Danio rerio: one gene and its partner. The protein of the gene in region 1 purifies or fractionates together with the protein of each later gene. This does not show direct contact. Links are inferred from orthologs where the notes say so. Each region holds a gene or a part of one and is shown in the gene's direction. Other genes may lie near its edges.

The links.
Region 2: the proteins of akap12b (region 1) and hspa12a purify together in Homo sapiens (affinity purification with mass spectrometry; 3 studies listed by BioGRID and IntAct, with this or other methods). This does not show direct contact. The link is inferred for Danio rerio from reciprocal best matches to the Homo sapiens genes AKAP12 and HSPA12A.

What each region holds. Positions count from the first base shown.
Region 1 is NC_133195.1:29,130,580-29,134,408, reverse strand, and holds part of akap12b (A-kinase anchor protein 12b), read left to right. Parts: intron 1-3,076; coding exon 3,077-3,829. UniProt on the Homo sapiens protein: Anchoring protein that mediates the subcellular compartmentation of protein kinase A (PKA) and protein kinase C (PKC).
Region 2 is NC_133192.1:22,603,375-22,607,203, reverse strand, and holds part of hspa12a (heat shock 70 kDa protein 12A), read left to right. Parts: intron 1-3,112; coding exon 3,113-3,744; 3' UTR 3,745-3,826; exon of another isoform or gene 3,827-3,829. UniProt on the Homo sapiens protein: Adapter protein for SORL1, but not SORT1. Delays SORL1 internalization and affects SORL1 subcellular localization.

The sequences.
Region 1 (3,829 bases):
TGATGGGGTTCAGTGGTCTCAGATGTCCTTCTTTTTTTCAGGAATTTTAATGAGTTTTTAAGCTCCTCAGATCTTAGTCAGGGTTCTCTAGAGGTGGTGTGGGTGTGTGTATGGAATTGATTACCTTCTGCACATGACTTCAGAGAGAGTTTTGATTAGTTGTGAATGTTTATTAAGCTTTATGTATGGAGATTCTTATCTCAGTTTTTAATTACACTTTAATTTGCTTTAATTGTTTTGTGTGTGTTTGTGTGTATATATATATATATATATATATATATATATATATATATATATATATATATATATATATATATATATATATAGTTGAAGTCAAAATTATTAGCCCCCTTTCAAATTTTTTTTCAACCATCGTCTTACATTTCCTTGCATAATTACCCTAACCTGCCTTTAAATGTCACTTTAAGCTGTATAGTAGAGAAAATATCTAGTAAAATATTATTTAATGTCATCGATGCAAAGATAAAATAAATCAGTTATTATAAATTAGTTATTAAAACTATTATAATTAGAAATGTGTTGAAAAAAATCTTCTCTTTGTTAAACAGAAATTGGGAAAAAATAAACAAGTGGTGTAATAATTCAGAGGGGCTAATAATTTTGACTTCAACTGTATATACACATGTACATACATACATACATACATACATACATACATACATACATACATACATACATACATACACACAGCACATTGCAGGTTCATTGGATTTTTGCAATCTTAATGGTTTTTATTCACCACAATCCATTCTAAAAGTAGATATTGATAGTATCATAAACAAAATTTTGATTGTTCATTCAACCAGAGTCAAAGGGGGCAGTCACTAAAGTATAGTTATTTAGTGTGGGAGGTGGGGTAGTTGGCCTGGTGGGGGTCCGGCAGTCAGTCTACTGCTCATTCTTCCTGCAACTTCCCTAAACTCACAGATTCCACTAATGAACAGCCTGCATTTGCATGTAACAGCAAGGGGTAGGGGGTTGTTGACCATTACCTCAGACCCATCTCAACAAACATCCACCCTTCCCCCAGCTTTCTAGAGAGCCCAGCTATCAAACTACTGTGATTTCAGATGGCATCTGCCCCCACCCACCCACAGTTCTACACTTTAACAGCCACAACAGACACGCTATCAAATTCCTTGGCTTGAGTTTCCCCAATCTGAGACAAAGGCAAATGTAGGGCGACTGATGGCTTACTCATGGTCCCTGACCCATTTTGTCTTTCATACTCAAGTAAAATTAAATACACACACACACACACACACACACACACACACACACACACACACACTGCACAGACATGTCTCCAGCTGTGTGAGGCAACAGCATCATGTTATAGTTTAATGTTTCATTTTTCTAATTGTTACCTAACTTTTATTGCCCCTTAAGATACCGCCAAACTTTTCCAAAAGTTTTACAGCTTGTCCAGTAATCAGTCTTCCATATCATCAAGATTTTCTATCTGTCATTCTAAATTGTTTCCCATAATGCCCCTTTCCCATTTTACTGCAAGGATTTCATCATGGTAGTTTAGGTTCCAGGACAGACAATAGTGTGGCCCCCCACCCTTTTTAGCTAAAGCAGGAAAAACCAGGGGCCCGTTTGGAGACAAAGAGCACAACACAATACAGTCTTCCTAAGCTAAAGTTTAGAATTGGGTTTGGTCTGTGGGGGGGATGGCTTGTTGTTTTGTAGGGGGATGGGAATGCCATTGCACCCCAGTATCACATTGAATTGTGGTATTAGATTAGCGCCTCTCTACATTTATAGCATACTTTAAAACCACAGAAGAGCTATCTTAATTTAAACTTACTGAAGGTGGATAAGCTAATGTAAGATTGTAAATGCATTCTCCACTGGGTGACCATGGCACGATTAGGAGCATTGGTAGTTTATTCTATTTTGTTGTTTCATTGTAATTTTTTAAGGGTGGGGTAAGACTTTACCAGTCACATAAAAATATGATTATTTTAATATGATTTATAATTTTTCGTTTTATAAATCATAAGTTGTTTGTTTGGTAAATGTGTTTGCGTTATCTAGGCCTGTGTCATGCAATTGTGTAGGATGTCAAGTAATGTTATATCCATGCATTAAAAATGCTTGGAATTTGTTTTTAAAGTCACTGGGTGGGTTTCAGACCCCAAAGCAAGAGCAAGCAGAGCCAGATGTGAGCAGTCTCTTGCTAGGTTGGATGTCAAAGGGAAACTGGGCCTCTAGGAGGCCCACACTATATGTGAACATGACTCCCTGTTCCTAGACCCACACCCTCAAAACCAACCCACTCCTGTCAAAACACAGATAGACGAGGGAGGAATTTAAGACATTATAAATGTGTGTGTGTGTGTGTTTGTGTTTTTTGTTTATCCACCTGTTGTGCTTTTAGTTACATTTAGTTTCAGATGATACTGTGCTCACATGCTGATTAATATTAGTAAAATACTATCAAAAAAAGCCCCTTCGATATGAGTTTGCTGTGTTTTATTAAATCAGGTCAGTTTCATAGTCCAAAAAGTTTGGCAACATATCCTGCATAGCTGAAGCTTACTACATGGAAATTTCCCCTGTTTGCTTTTAAGTTAACTGTTGTCATCACCCCCGTTTTATAGTTTTGGTTAACATTTACAGGCAGGAGACCAGAATATGTAAACTTAATATCAGATTGCCATCATATGCCTGATTAAATCTGTAAGGGGGGAAATGTTTTTTTTGCAGGTTTTCCAGAAATGTGGCTCTGATTTCCTTCAAATGACACAGTCCTCCATCTTGAGTTAATCATCTCACTAGATCATTTATTTTGCTTTTATTATTATAATTACAAACCTGTTTTTCTAAACTAATTCTTTTTGTGGGTTGACTATCCACAAGAGACCAAACACACAGACGATTTTAAACACTTGGAGTGTTATGTTATTTAATAATCTGTTAACTTGATGATTCGAATGGTGACGACTTGATTCATTTTTTTTTAGATGTCCAATTAAGTATCATAAGTATAAGTGAATAAATTTATGCAAGCAATTTAATAAAATCTTTCATTTTTGTTTTATTTCAGTTGGTCAAACGGACACCATCTCCCCAAAAGAAGACAGCCCTGAAACAATAGAAGTGCACCAGGAAGAGGTTGCCCCTCAAATGAATGGAGAGAAGGGAGACGATTCTGCAAATGCAGATGAGATTACAACTGCTGAAGAGAAGGTGGTAGAGGAAAAACAAGAAGAGGCCAATGAAGTGGGCTTCAAGAAGATTTTCCGTTTCGTTGGATTCAAATTCACACTGAAGAAAGACAAGAATGAGAAGACTGAGCCTGTGCAACTGCTGACAGTGAAGGAAGCAGAGAGTGGTGCTGATGCAGCCACTGAGGAAAAGAAAGAGGAACCTGCAGCAGAGGAGGACAGGTCTGTGGAAGAAAAATCACCAGAAACCACAGAAAATGAGGCCAAAGCTGAAGAAGTAACTGAGAAGGCAGAGGAACCAGCAGAACAAACTGTAGTTGATGCACCATCAGAGACAGAAAAGGTCAGTGATATTGAAACTGAAAAACCTGCTGAAGAAACAGGGACAATATCAGAGAAAGAACCAGAGCCAGAAGTGCCAGCTGAATCGCCCACAAGCCCACCCTCTCAGGAGACACAGAGTCCCTTTAAGAGATTTTTTACTCAGGGAATCTTTTCTAACCTCCGAAAAAAGGCAAGCTTCAAAAAGCCCAAAGATGAGGAACATGTCAAAGAAAAGCCTGTGGAGGAGGACATTAAGGAAACTGAGGAAACAGCAGAGGGTGTTCCCGAGGCTACAGAAGAAGCTAAAG
Region 2 (3,829 bases), on another chromosome or scaffold:
AAAACTTAACCAAAATAATGAACACTGACTCAAACAACATACAAAAAGCTTTAGAAAAAAATTTATTCTGTGCTCATCTTAAACTGTTACATTTTACTGTGAGATGAGGAGACAAGTTATGTTACATTACATTACATCAAAGAAATCTTAATTTGGCCCAAAAAGATCAAACATTGAAAATATGTAGTCATTGCTTATACATGGTTGACTGTGAAATGTGTCTATACTAGTGCCAACTTCTCCAGTCAGCAAAAGTCTGGGCAAACAGCGATCTGGGCAGAAGTCATGTAGTGTTTTTCAGCCCTTAGTAAGATCTGTAAAGCTGTATAATCTCATGAGCTGCTGGGAGACACAATTAGGATGAATGTTGGCCCAGTCAGAGGAGCCTCAACCATCTGCCCAAAATAATTCAACACACACCAAGAAGTGGGTCAGAACTCAGTCCCTCTGCTCTTGTCTCTGCTGGTCGAGCTCAGCTGCGATCTGCTCAGACTAAAACTATAAGCAGCAACAGCACTGCTTATAAATTGCTTTTAGTCATTTTGCTCTAAGCCATGTAACATTCTTCTCACGTGTTAAAGGTAGTCCATCAGCTCATTTTGAAGGATTGATTGCATTCATGGGGTGCGTTATGGTGTGTTTTTGTTTGAAAAACGTTCACATCTTTTACCCTTCTGTACTACATCACTTTTTGATTTTTTCCTAAAAAACTGACTGATGATTGCTATATTTAATCCGGTGTGCGTGTGTAGTAGCCTCAGTGTACTTGTTGAACTTTAAACTAGCGCACAGTTGGCACCTTGTCATAACTTTTCTGTGCAACAGAAATGCTGCTTAGAGAAGCCTTTACGATTAATTAACTGTGAAGAATTAAAGCGCAGTTAAATCAGCAAATCATTGCATCCCTATTAATAATATCAGTGCGTTTAACAAAAGGCATTTCCTACAAAACATATCCAAATGTTTTCGGCTGTCCCCACCACTCGCTTATGATGACTCACGCTCTGCGCCTCTACAGCTCGCGCTGTATTAAACAGACGCAGGTCACTTCATAACTATAGCGGCCGTTTTTCGACTCTACTAAATTTATTTTCGATGTCTTGGTCACACCATTTGGAAAGCCGGAACAAACAGCCTCGGGGGCCGGGTTCGGCCCGCCAATTGAATAGCCCTGCAGTAGAGCATTAATTAAATCCTTTTTTTCCCATGAAGCGAAACAAACTCTGCACTTGTGTAGCGAATGGGGACGCACATAAATATACAGTTCAAATATTTTTGTCGGTAGAAAAATATTTTTGGAACGAATTCAGTTTTGTACAATTTGTATCTTAATTTTTGTTGGTCAGTGATCTACAAAATAAACAAAAATAACGAATAACCTTTAAGATGAAGCAATGTGCCTTCAGGTCCGCTATATGCCACGGCCAAAACACAAACATTGCCTGCTAAAAAATAAAAGTGAAGTATTCAGTTTCGAATTATGTATATGTAAACTGTATCATCAAAATGAATTGAGCAGCCTATATCATGACTGTTTATGACATTCATTTATCGGTGTTCCGACCTCAAATGTCTAGGGCTGAGGTTGAACATAAATGTTAAAGAAAAAAAAATAAACAGTTGGCAGGTTATGATTTAAATGGCCTTAAAGGTTCTTTTATTGTGAGGAGGAGGAAAATATTGTATTTACAAGAAAAAAAAGAAATGAGCGCAAAAAAATAGCTCCAGGGCTGAGTAAGGCCAAATCAATAAACAAAATATTAGCTAACTTCACCTCGAAGATAACTTACCTAATGAGCCAAAAGAAATGCAGAACATATATTACAAATACTACCCTTAGCCTACTCCTTGACTAAACCAAAAACAGGAGAAAATGTCAGTTCAAAGTAAATGGGACTTAGCCTCTACGGCGCTCAGCTCACAGCTTTTTATACCATAGGTGTGTTAACAGTCACAACAAGGAGGGGAGAAGAAGAATGTGAAGAGCACCTTAAAATTCACAATTTATGATCAACAAGAAAAGCACTACAACAGGTTTTCAACAAGAACGCCACATTCTTTGAAAGCTCTCTGTCTCAGACTCTCCCCGCAATCTGACTCTTTTTCGAAAAATGCTGCGAAAGATGCTGCGTTCTCCGAGCACCAACCACAGTGCGCCCGCAGCACGCCCGATTAGGTTTATTGGGGTTACCTACAATGGATTAATACTTAATGCCCTGCTATGTAGTGCATGCATATATATATATATATATATATATATATATATATATATATATATATATATATATATATATATATATGCACGGTTAACGCTTGATTTCTTGCTTCATCACCGCGGTAACAGAAAATCGGTTACCGTCACAGCCCTACTGAAATCACAGGCAAATCGGTGCTTGACAATCACACAGTATGAACTATCAAAGACGTCATCTGAGAGAATCGCAGATGAGTCGCCGATGCCTGTGAGATATTTGGCATGCTAAATATCTGAACCTGTCGACGATTCAAATCATGTCGTGTGAAATAAGTTTTGGCTAGAATTAACATCGGTGATCGCCCATAGCCAACGCGAAAGCAGCATTCACTAGTGTGTGTTTACCTGCAGGCCAGCGGGAGGTTGAGGGAGAAGTTAAAAGTGCTTATTTTCGTTATATTTTGACCCAAGAAATGGAGGAAAAACTAGTGGAGGTTTGACAGGAGCACTGTGTCTGGCTGACGTTTAGTGCAGAAAGGTAAAAAAGAAAGTTGAGGAGAAATGGCTAATTCCCTACAAACCCAAGTAAGCAAATATGTACATTTTCTACCCCATTAAAGGCTTCTTTCTTGTTATGTAGTTAATAACAAAAGATATTCTATTTGTTTTTGGATGTGAAACGTAGTTTGGACAAAGTTGTCGGCGATTCTTCCTATTGTAAAGTCATGCATTTTGAAAGCCCCTTTCGCCGATCCATCTTCCAGTGTAAACATAGCAGCGACAAAACTCTAGCCCAGTTAGTCATGCAGTGTGAAAACATTTGTGACTGAACTCGGCATAACCAAAGATTAAAAGGTTTTCTGTCTTGAGGAGGGCCAAAATCTAATTTCTTTTTCTGTCTCTGTGTTTATTCTCCAGCTGAGTTATTTGACAGGCCTGAAGTGACAGACATCAAGTTCCTCTTTCTAGTGGGTGGATTCGCAGAGTCTCCACTGCTGCAGCAGGCGGTCCAGAACATGCTTCAGGGCCGCAGCCGAATCATTATTCCGCACGACGTGGGTCTGACCATCCTGAAGGGGGCGGTGTTGTTCGGCCTGGATCCAAGCATTATAAAAGTGCGCCGCTCTCCACTCACCTACGGCGTCGGCGTCCTCAACCGATTTGTGGAAGGCAAACACCCACCTGAAAAGATGCTGGTGAAGGACGGTATGCGCTGGTGCACCGACGTCTTCGACACGTTTATCTCTGCCGATCAGTCGGTGGCACTGGGCGAAACGGTAAAGCGCAGCTATACACCAGCCAAGCCATCGCAGCAGGTGATCGTCATCCATGTGTACTGCTCAGAAAAAGAGTCGGTCACTTTCATCACGGACCCAGGCGTGAGGAAGTGCGGCTCGCTGAAGCTGGATGTGAGCGGTACTGAGAGTCCAGCGGCACGCAGAGAGATCCAGACACTCATGCAGTTCGGAGACACCGAGATCAGAGCCATGGCTGTCGACGTGGCCACATCTCGCACTGTCAAAGCGAGCATCGATTTCCTTGGTCAGTAGATGAGGAAAACACACACTGCAGACAAACTCAGTATTTAGTCATGTTTTCCAGTCAAAAATCTTTAAATCATCCTCAAAACGAATA